Xenopus tropicalis: one gene and its partners. The protein of the gene in region 3 purifies or fractionates together with the protein of the main gene of each other region. This does not show direct contact. Links are inferred from orthologs where the notes say so. Each region holds a gene or a part of one and is shown on either strand. Other genes may lie near its edges.

Region 1 (3,686 bases), on a different chromosome or scaffold from region 3:
ATCTGCCCACTCCAGTATGTATAGATTACATTTTGCCTAACTATATTGCAAACATTTTTTATTTTGGGCAGTCTCTTTTACCCAGTTCCACTTTTACACAGAACCGCTGCTCACTATGCGAATGTGTCCCCCAACACTAAACTATTCAACTCCTAAAATTATCAGAGGCAGATATTTTGCACCCCTGGTACCATGAAAAACACCTTTACAAAACGCATTATAATATTAGACAGCTTTATATTATAAGGAAATCGAGCTATATTTATGCATCTATGTCAAGTTGCATGTACACGTACCGCAACTATACGTTTCCAGTTTTATAGCAATGGGGTGTCAAACACGAACACATCTGCCTTTCCGCTGTCACTTTCACTATACTCTACTCCACCCGTTTCTACCCACAACAACCCAAATAAAGATCATTGAGAAAAAAAAAAAACGAAAAAAAACTTTTTCTGCAGGTGGGGGCTTCCTTGCGCATGCGCGCATCCCTCCGCCTCTCAGTCTGACGTTGCGTGTCTCCGTGCACGCTTCTGTAGTTTACGGGCGCGGGCACGCTCTGTCGCTGTGCAGGTTATGCCTTGTGTCGCGCATGTACATTTCAGTCTGCCATTCGTTGTCTCTGTGCGTTTTATCAGCTCCACCCCCTCTCGGCGCGCTCCCGCAAGTACGGGGGTGAAATTGAATGAGGAGGAGGAAAGCTACAACGACATAGTCGCGTTTCGGCCTCCTCCTTTTGACAGGCAATACCTTAACATAAGCCTTATTAATACGTGAATATTTCCGTCCGGTCATCACCGGCCGTAGCCTCGCACGAAGTTGGGGGGTGGGAGGCGTAGGCCGTGCTAGTGAATGTGTGACAGGAGAGGGGGCAGAGAGGAGGGGTAGCAGACCGATCGGCACAGTGCGGAATTTCGTGTATGTTTGTAGCGTGTGTTACCGTGGAATAGTGTGGTTGTCTGGAAGTTTCTGGCATGGAGGACAAGACGTTTACTAAAGAACTGGACCAGTGGATCGAGCAGCTCAATGACTGCAAGCAACTCAACGAGAGCCAAGTGCGCACCCTGTGCGAGAAGGTGAGACCGGCCCTGTGCAGCAACGTCTGTAAACACTCAGCCCCACATACATAGGTGTATAGCACTCCCAGCATGATACCGTCATGATCTCGTAGGGGGAATACATGCTACGCACAGAAACATACACACGCCTGTAAGGGGCCTCGCTTGTTCATACAGGCACGTCCACACAGCAAATAAACATACATCAGGGGATTTACTGTGTAGGATTCTGATCTTGAAAATTGTATTTAGTTCCCTTTTGATTGGCAGCTGTTGGTTCCAGTTTCTAAGACCCCCTGCTTATTTGAATGTATTAGTGTATGTATTTATATCTTTATTTAGCAAGCACTACTTATGTGCGCAGCGCTGTACAGTAGAATACATTAATACAAACAGGGGGTTATTAAGATAATAATAGATAAGTTTAAAGTATAACAATAAATACAAGATACAATTGCAATAAGTTAAGGGTCAAAGAGACAAAAGGATGGAGGTCTCTGCCCCGTAGAGCTTACAATAGTGGCATTAGTATTCATTTATTTTCAGAATACAATTTGACATGTGGAATTATCTTAAAATGTTCCTTTAACATATATGTGTATTGTAGCTAATTACTATTCAGAGTGAGATTTTATAATTTGATGGGTGCCTTGAACACAGCCAGTGTTCCTTTCTCAGGGATTTATTTTCTAAATTAAACGGGCAACAATGTACCCCTATCATCTTTGCTAATAATCATAGGGTTGGCAGAGTGCATTGATGTGACTTTATGATGTAATAACAGGCACAAAGTTTGCTAAAGCATCTTTAAATCCATAACATTTAATCAACTGTTTGCTCTCAAACAGCAGATTACAAAATACAAACAGATGGATTGCAAAAACTGGAGGAAACTTTTCACCTGTAATGCAAGTGTTTCCTTGTAGGGAAAATCACTACAGTTAAGTGATTCTTGCAGCTAAATGCTGTTTAAGGACTACAGCACACAGAGCTACTTGTAGCGGCTACAAAGCCCCAGAAAATACTTTGCCATAGACAGTACTGAGAACCATCTTTGCTAAAACACACGTAGAGACAATTATCAGTACTATTTTGTAGCTGGTGCAATTAGCTCCATGTGTCATTGCACTAAAGGTACAAATATAAAGTTAATTTTTGATGAGTACCTTTCTTTAATCCTTTGAGAGCTTGATACTTATGATGTAGCCAGACTGTTTTCAGTAAACACGTGTCACCTCTCTTAATACTGTTGAATACTTGTGGTGACAGGTGGACCTATGCGCAAAGCTTTTGCTTGAGTGTATTGGGCCAGTGTGTCTCTGTTACCTCTTCATGTCCATCTGATATGGCACTTTATGTTCAGTAGTAACATTATGGGTGATAGGACTATGGCCTTTTCTTTACGCGTTGTGTGCCATTAATCTAAGCATATTTTCATTTACCTATCTTTTTTTTTTTAAATAGCTTTTGATTTATCAGAATCCTTATTTTATTCCCCCAGCCTTCAACTGAAAATACTGTTTGGTTGTCAGGGTTTCCTGATCCTGACAACCATTAAACTGATTGACTGACTGTAAGTCCTCAGATGTGTTGCTGTTTTTATTTTCATTGCACATCATTCTAATGGGACACTTTACTGTTCATCTTCATTTTGAGTTTCTCTTTTGTGTCTGGTTGTTAGGCCAATTAAGTCCTACCATCCTCATATCAGTTGAAATTCCAAGCTGCCAAGAAAAAAAAAAGAAGGCTGATTAATAATTGTTATAGAATGCTACCATCTATACCATATGTGGAACTAATTTTAGGATGAACTACTCCTTTAAGTTTGGGTTCTTTAATGGTGCTGTGCTACAGTTAACAGCATCGTTCAACATAAAATCAAGCATCCAGACATAATGGGAAATGAAATGTGTGTCCATCTAAGGAAATAGGACTATAGTACTTCACAACATACAATAATAACTATATCTAACTGTATATATAACTAGGCTAAATGTAAAATAAACCAAACAGTAAAACTTTGAAGGGTAAGGTCAGCTAAAAGAAGCCATACATCCTCCACTGTAAATTAAATTTACAGTGGCCTTTCACTTTAGTAATAAATAGCGCATGACTTTTGAGCACCTTTTAATCCATTTCACCCTAACTTTTCTGTTTGTTAACTCTCAATTTCCTTTGCTGAAGAAGGTAATATTTTATTTATTTTACTCCCCCTTTTAAAGAAGAAAATAAATAAAGCCCTAACTCATTACAGCTAGAAATACTTTATTTTATAAACCAATCATACAGTAGAAGCCCTACAATAGTAATGACCCATTCTTTCAAAGTTGTCCACAGCAGCTCATAAATTTTGATCACTAGACCACTTTGTGCTTGCCAGTGACTCGCCACAGGCTAATTTTTCATGTCATTAAAATTATTGAACAGAAAGTGATATTACATTTATTATAGAAGCTGAAGCTACTGGGATGATCATTTGCGATCCAAAATGCACTGGTTAGTGTGAGGTGATGTAATGTGATTTTGACTTCATTACTATTGTTTTTTGAACTTTTACATTATATTCACACTGTATATTATGAGTTAGCCCCTAAGCTCACATAACTGATAGCAGCCCAAAGCAAATAC
Region 2 (3,756 bases), on a different chromosome or scaffold from region 3:
AAGAAATACTGTCGTCGGAAAATGTTTTTTTCAAAATGCATCAGTTAATAGAGCTTCCCCAGCAGAATCCTGCATTGAAATCTGTTTTTCGAAAAGACAAACTTTTTTTATATTTAATTTAAAAAATTTCACATGGGGCTAGCCATGATCTTCATTTCCCAGGGTGCCACAGCCATGTGACCTGTGCTCTGATAAACTTCATTTACACTTTACTGCTGAGCTACAAGTTGGAGTGATATCACCCCCCTCCCAGCAGAACAAAGGGAAGGTAGCAAGATAGCAGCTCCCATTAGATATCAGAATAGCACTCAATAGTAAAAAATCCAAGTCCGGTTTTGGACTCCTCCAGTTACATGGGAGTAGGAGAAACAACAGATTGCCGAAAACAGTTCTAATGTGTAGTGCTGGCTTTTTCTGAAGACTCAGACACAATGCACTGAGACTGCTGCCTACACACCAATATTACAACTAATATCCTGCTGGGCCCCGCTAGACCCTGCTGGCAGCCCACCTCTCTCCTTTATGGCCCCAACCCACCCAGCACTTTGCTGGGCCCTGGCAAATTCATGCTTCAGTGATAAGCCCTAGCCACCTGCTCACCTATCCTTCACCTTGTTGGGCCCCACCAGGCCTGGCGACTATGTCCCGAAACAAAACCATTTTCGTGTTGAATGGGAGTTTAAGTTAAAAATGGTCATGTGTTCCGCCATCTTTAATTTTTTATGCAGGCAAAACTTTCAGAGGTGGCGCAGGTAAGAGAATGAGGATCTAAGGAGCAATAGAAGAACAGATATAATTGTCTTTGACAGAACAGGGCAAGCAGCATGAAGGCATAAAGAAGAAAGGTTTATGACATGCCTGAGATAAATGTGCTGATACCTACTTGCTGCATTCATTTTACTGGCATGTGTAAAGTTAATACTTACATTATCAATTTCTGCAGGTCTAGAGTAAATGTGATCATAAATTATTTAACGCAGTGATCTTAAGTGTATGTCTGGGTAACTATAACTAAAGTGTGTGGCAAACGGCATAAAAATGTTGGCACCATGCTCAGTGCATTTTTAGACCCCAAAGTTTCAGATTTACCGCTAAAGCCCCATATTTTGTTGCAATATACTTGAGACATGATCTACAATGTTAGGTGATGGGTACCAGGTGCCCCAGTCCGACACCGCCTTTAACTAGTCATCCTGATCGTTAATGATCCATATAGAACTCAAACTCTATTGTTTGTAGCCACGAAAGGCAACCCCTTTCTGTACGCGCTTGATCTCTGTGGTCTCCGGTTCTCAACTTCCGGTTTCCGGTTTCTAAGTTGCTGTGTTGAGAGGATGCCGTACGCGAACCAGCCTACAGTGCGGATAACGGAGCTCACTGACGAGAATGTCAAGTTTATCGTGGAAAATACTGACTTGGCGTAAGAGACCTTTGACTGTTATGGCAGAATAATGGGTTTAATTGCTTTTTTCAGAACGATGTGTGGTGTGCATGTTGCATACTCGCTGCCCCAGACTGCCTGTCTCTCGAATCCCAATTCCTGAGACCCCCACATTTATAATGAGTGGTAAAGTGCGAGGGAATGGTTAGGTGGAAATAGAGTTTAGATTTTTATTTTTCCAACTTCGGCTAGGTATGATGTGGTACTTATTCACCATTGTGTCATGTATCTACTTTGTGTTATTCTGTTGTTTCTAATTATCCTAAAAGTGTAAATAATAGTGTGACTATATCACCATATGATGACGTATGTCATGCTGGGTACCACTGGTTTCCTGGACGCATCTCTTCTCTAAAGGGCAACTAAAGACATGATAGAGGTGTGACAAGTTGGCTGTTAGGCGTATGTAACCCACATATTGTACATCGCTGCAGAATATGTTGGCGCTTTATAAATAAATGTTAATGTAATGTAATCACTCCTTCTTTGGGTTCCACTATTTTCTGGTGCTTCTGTATGAAACTGTTTCATTTCCCTCAGGGTCACCTGTTTGCATGGATGCCCATTCTTCTTTTTAACCTTTTTTGATTGAGAATATTTATTTTTGGTAGTTCTTTTAACCCTTTTGGTTTCCCATGTGTTCAGGAGCAACTTCTAGTTCACCTTTTGTGTCTGTTAGTAGATTATATAGTGCCTGGCACCTAAAGGGTTCATTTAAAAAAAAAAAAACTGCATGTTTTCATACCAATATCGCTAACATACTTTGTAAAGGAGACATATTGGATAAATGGGAAAAACGCTAATTTTGTAGGCAATTATGAATAATATACGGTTCTGGTTTCTGTTTGTGCTAAAAATTAATCTTCTCTGTAAAAATGGCCCCTTTATTGGAGCTCCCTAGTGTGAAATGAAGAATGGGCGTGTCCTAACAGTACCTGCCAGAAGCACAGTAGGAGGGGGAGAGCCAATCACAGCCCTGCACTCAGACAAGCAAAGACAGGCTTCAGTTCCCTATCAGGTCAGCCTAGCTGCTGATTGGTTCCTATCCTACAGTGCAGTGTACGGAGGGCCGCCGGCTCCCCAGCTCATCCAGAGAATTCAGCCAGCAGGAAGTGGAACAGATGGGCGGGGCTAGTGGGGTTTTTGTGGAATTTCTCAATAAATCAGTCTGAAACACAACATTATTAAGCACAATCGTTCTATATCTAGAGGAGTATAATTCACTATAATTCATTCATAATTTTTATAGGATATGTCTCCTTTAAGAGGCCTCAAAGGCATAAAACTAAATTTAGAATTAGAAGAAATGGAACACTGCTTCCCATGTAAGGTAGTAATCATGCTGCACTTGATTTTTTATAGAACCATTTTTAGGAAATGTGTATTTGAGTGCTAAAAATATGCAGGTATTATTGCTATAAAATAATGAGTAAAAGGAAAAATTGTTACACTTGTTCCTCTGTATAAGCAGCCATTAATTATCTAATACTAATAAACCTTTTTCTATTTCAGAATTGCTAACTCGATCCGTAGGGTGTTCATAGCAGAAGTTCCTACTATAGGTATGTGCTCTTGTCCTGCATAAGAAAGGTTAAAGGGCCCTTGTTCAGCATGATTGCAATAAAGCTTACCTGAACAGGAAACACTCAGTGCAGTGTTTGTGAGCATTAATGTTTTATTACATTAGATCTCAAAACCCCTTGTAATGCATTCTGGTGCCCCTTACATTAAAATAACACATTTTTGTTGTTTATGTTTTATTTTACAGCTATAGATTGGGTGCAGATAGATGCAAATTCCTCTGTTCTTCACGATGAGTTCATAGCTCACAGAGTTGGTAAGTACTTAAAGATAAATTTACATTGAGTAGCAGGGCAATATTTCTAGTTAAGGCTACTTGCACTACTAGCAATACGTTGTCTAGCTTGTTTTGCCATTAGGGAGAAACTCCAGTTGCTATTGTACAGCGCTGCGGAATATGTTGGCGATAAGTGATACTGACAAGAAAAAACTACTTTTTAAATTATGAATCTACATAAAAAGTTACCAATAGGTCATGTTGATCAGTTTTTGTTGATAGGTTTGCTTTTATTAGCAATTGCTACTTAAACCTGACTGTTTTCCCAACCTGACTGTCCCTTCTCAGCCTGTCAGTTATAGCTTCTAATGCTAACGGACTCCTGCTGCACAAATATGGCCGCTCCCTCATAGAGGGACATGGGAGATCAGATAGGTAATGTAAAAGCATCTTGCAAATACTTTTATGGCAAAATTATAAAGCTCATGAAAAGACAGTGTTATGATAGATATAAAAA
Region 3 (3,756 bases):
CCATATAGGATATACAGGTATAGGACCCATTATCCAGAATGCTCGGGACCAAGGGTATTCCGGATAAGGGGTCTTTCTGTAATTTGGATCTCCATACCTTAAGTCTACTAAAAAATCAATAAACCATTAATTAAACCCAATAGGATTGTTTTACATCCAATAAGGATTATTTATATCTTAGTTGGGATCAATTACAAGGCACTGTTTTATTATTACAGAGAAAAGGGAAATTAGTATTAAAATTCTGAATTATTTGATTAAAATGGAGTCTACGGGAGACTTTCTGGATAATGGGTTTCCGGATAAGGGATCCTATACCTGTACAGATATAACATTAGATCAACAACAAACGCCCCAGCCTTTATATACTGAGAATACCGGGACTCGCAGTCCAACTGTGAAGACGGGCCTGAGGAAAGCGCTGTACTCCGCAGTTAAACTACATTTCCCAGCATTCCCAGTCGCGCAAGCATTTTCGAGCAGCGCTCAAGAAACAGGCCATGGGGAAAAACGACAGTCGCCAGAAGAACGCCGGAACTGAACGTATAAAACCAATATGGGCTGGTCAGAAATAAACGTATGTACACTAGAGGATATAAAGATAAAGCGAATGAGGAGTTTAACTACAAGCACGTAAATAAAAAGCATTAATTTCCTTCATCTGAACCCGCATCCACCATGCCCTCGGCTGCTCTGCTGACGACTGAGGAAAAAACACAGCGACGACGCCCGTTATACACAAGGCAAAGCGCGCCGCACAAAACCCGCGTACGTACGCGCGTCCCGCATTTCCCCGCCCACTTCCATGAACGCGCATGACACCTCCCGTTGCCGCGCTCTTTCCTTTTTAACCCAACTCCTCCCGCGGAGACTCGCTTTCCCCATGATCTCAGCCACCGATAGGGTTAATGAATGCGCGTAACACAATCCCTTCATGAATATACATGAGCCGAAGCACATGCTGTCCAATAAGGCACGCCTGTCCCGCGTCACATGGGACTCTGACGTAACGGCATTAGGAGCCGTCGAACCCCTCCTCCTCGCTTTAAAAGCTCCGAGTGCGAAAGGAAGCGTTCAGTAGAGGGAGACAGAGCTTGTGGCAGGGGGAAGTAGTGCTGAACTCATTCAAACTTCTGTCACATCCACGGGGGGCATAAACAATCCAACTTAGCCAAGCCAGCTTCCCTTCCAGCCAGAAACATGATATAATACAGAAGAATTTCTCAGAAGGGTCCCAAACTGCAAAAAACCCATCCCCATCAATAATAGCCCCTTAAAGAACCTTCCCCTTTTGGAACTGAAGGCCACGACCCGTCATACAAAGAGGATATGGGGCTGTGGGCAGCCAGCTAGCAGACTCAGGGACACTCCGCTGCTGTTTCCCCCACACCCTGCTTAGCCCCCTTGTGTTTCCCGTGCTGGGCGAATGGAACTGCCCATGTAGCAGCTCCTCGCCTGTACCAGCAGCGGCAGCACTATGCCCATTTTACTTTTTCTGCTAGATACGTCCGCTTCAATGAACCAGCGCACCCACCTGGGCACTACCTACCTGGACATAGCTAAAGGCGCAGTAGAGACTTTCATGAAGGTATAGTAGTACCCCCCTCCCAGTGAGCAGCTGCAGCAGCCAGGGTGCCAGCACCACTACCCCCCTGTTCCATTAGGGTTACCCCCAACTCAGGGGGCGCTTGTAAGCTGCCTACTTAACGCTCTCCCCCCTTCCTCTGATCTTCTATCTGCCTCTGTCCTTCCCTCCTACTGACCCCATCTGCTCCTCTCTGTCTTGTTTCTCAGCTCAGATCCCGAGATCCTGCTAGCAGAGGAGACAGGTACATGCTGGTCACCCTGGAAGAGCCTCCTTATGGGATCAAGGTAATCATAAATATAATCAGCATCATGTAGCAGGCACCACTGCTCCCCCTCCCTCTGTGTGCCATGTCTGTGTCAGCCTTGCTGGCATGTATCCCTTTAACAGCCACCACACGCACTCACACACACACACATATCCAGTAGCTGACAGAAACATGGCCGACATCCCCCACTCCTCCCCCTCGTAACCCAGCGCAGCCGCAAGGAACTGTGGGAGATCGAGACTCAAGTTAAAAGTGACATCCCCAAGGGGAACTTCGCAGATCACGATAGGGGCCCTGGAGTGTCAGGGCTGCTGTTTGTGAGAGACTATTGTGGGCCCTAGTGACTCTCCTGATAAAAACAATGTATTTTCATTAGTGTCTCACTTATATCTGCCTATTGCAAAGTGGGGAAGGTCTCAGCACAATAACAGCTAATAAGTTTTGCATGTGTGTAAAATATTATCATTAAGTCCCTGCTTAATCTTCATCTGTTTTTCATTTTTTTCTTATTATCAAAGCAATATACAATTACACATAGGAATATAAAATTATATTTGTTGTATGCATTTTTAGAATGATACATAATTTTAACACGTGTGCATATGTATATATTTTATATTTATACAATATAAACACACACATACTAACAAGGGATGTCCAACCTTCAATCCTTAACCTCCCAGCACCCAGTGTCTGAAAAGCTGATGGGAATGATCATTTTAGAACAGTTAAATGTCCACCAGACTTGGGGGCTGCAGGGAGTTACCATATGAGAACAGTTAAATGTCCACCAGACTTGGGGGCTGCAGGGAGTTACCATATGAAAACAGTTAAGTGTCCACCAAACAAATTCCCAGTCATTAGTTCTCACTGTCACGTGAGAGCCAAATTATTGTCAAGGAACCCCATTTGTAGTTCAGCAGCTGGCGGGCTGTAGGTTGCACACCTGGAGTATTTGTAATGCAGTTAAATGCACACTGAGTATATTTCTTTATTAAAAACACTAAGATAATATTAAAGGCATTTTGGCGGCAACTGTTTATTATTTTTGTATGGATTGTAAGTTTTTGAGGGTAGACTTTTGTGTTATACTTTCTTTCTGCTCTTAGCATTAATGTTCGTGCTCGACAGTCATGTTTGCTGCTATCCTATTATACGGCACTTCATTCATTTGCTGTCACTTTATTATTATTAGTATTGATGAGCATAGTCCTATTGTTTGATTTATTATGCTGTTCTGGTTTTTGCAGTCACAATACCTGCATCTGTTCTTTTACTGTGTGTTACCGTTTCTGGCATTTTCTTATTTTTATGTGAACAACACATTTTATTTTAGTTGCATTTTGCCAGAGGCATGAACTAGCTTGTGTGATTATCCACTCTTAGTTCTGTACCAGTACGTTCTTAAATAACCAGCCTTTGTCCACTTGCATGACCTAGCATAAATCAGCATTTCTCAGACTGTTAATTGAACCCCTTCCCCATGGGATTTTTTACATTGATATGGGTGCCAAATATATTTTGTTTTTTTATCTAGAAATGAGAATGTTTTTATATGTTGCTTATACTACCATTACAATATAAGTAAGTAAGTAGAGTTTTATTGTCATCCCAACAATATACTTACAAGTACACAGTGGAATGAAATATTGTCCTCCTGAATCAAAAAGGGTGCAATATATAACTATAATAATAGAAAATAAAATAAAAAAATTAAAAATTTAATTTAAAAAAATAAATAAATAAATATATATTTAATATATATTTTTTTAAAGGGATTTTTCACCCAACCCTGGATGCATGCACATCCATTAAAGAGCACTGGGGATAGGACCTACAGAAGTTTTCTGCACATCCTGTCCCCAGTGCTCCCTATGTGAGCAAAGTTTTTAAGGGGCATATT

Evidence for each region.
Region 1: the proteins of ints6 (region 3) and ppp2cb purify together in Homo sapiens (affinity purification with mass spectrometry; 3 studies listed by BioGRID and IntAct, with this or other methods). This does not show direct contact. The link is inferred for Xenopus tropicalis from reciprocal best matches to the Homo sapiens genes INTS6 and PPP2CB.
Region 2: the proteins of ints6 (region 3) and polr2c purify together in Homo sapiens (affinity purification with mass spectrometry; 3 studies listed by BioGRID and IntAct, with this or other methods). This does not show direct contact. The link is inferred for Xenopus tropicalis from reciprocal best matches to the Homo sapiens genes INTS6 and POLR2C.

What each region holds. Positions count from the first base shown.
Region 1 is NC_030677.2:97,482,155-97,485,840, reverse strand, and holds the start of ppp2cb (serine/threonine-protein phosphatase 2A catalytic subunit beta isoform), read left to right. Parts: upstream 1-767; 5' UTR 768-974; coding exon 975-1,076; intron 1,077-3,686.
Region 2 is NC_030680.2:76,285,217-76,288,972, reverse strand, and holds the start of polr2c (DNA-directed RNA polymerase II subunit RPB3), read left to right. Parts: upstream 1-1,309; 5' UTR 1,310-1,334; coding exon 1,335-1,420; intron 1,421-2,953; coding exon 2,954-3,003; intron 3,004-3,209; coding exon 3,210-3,278; intron 3,279-3,756. UniProt on the Homo sapiens protein: Core component of RNA polymerase II (Pol II), a DNA-dependent RNA polymerase which synthesizes mRNA precursors and many functional non-coding RNAs using the four ribonucleoside triphosphates as substrates.
Region 3 is NC_030678.2:149,910,004-149,913,759, reverse strand, and holds the start of ints6 (integrator complex subunit 6), read left to right. Parts: upstream 1-1,065; 5' UTR 1,066-1,477; coding exon 1,478-1,588; intron 1,589-1,794; coding exon 1,795-1,872; intron 1,873-3,756. UniProt on the Homo sapiens protein: Component of the integrator complex, a multiprotein complex that terminates RNA polymerase II (Pol II) transcription in the promoter-proximal region of genes.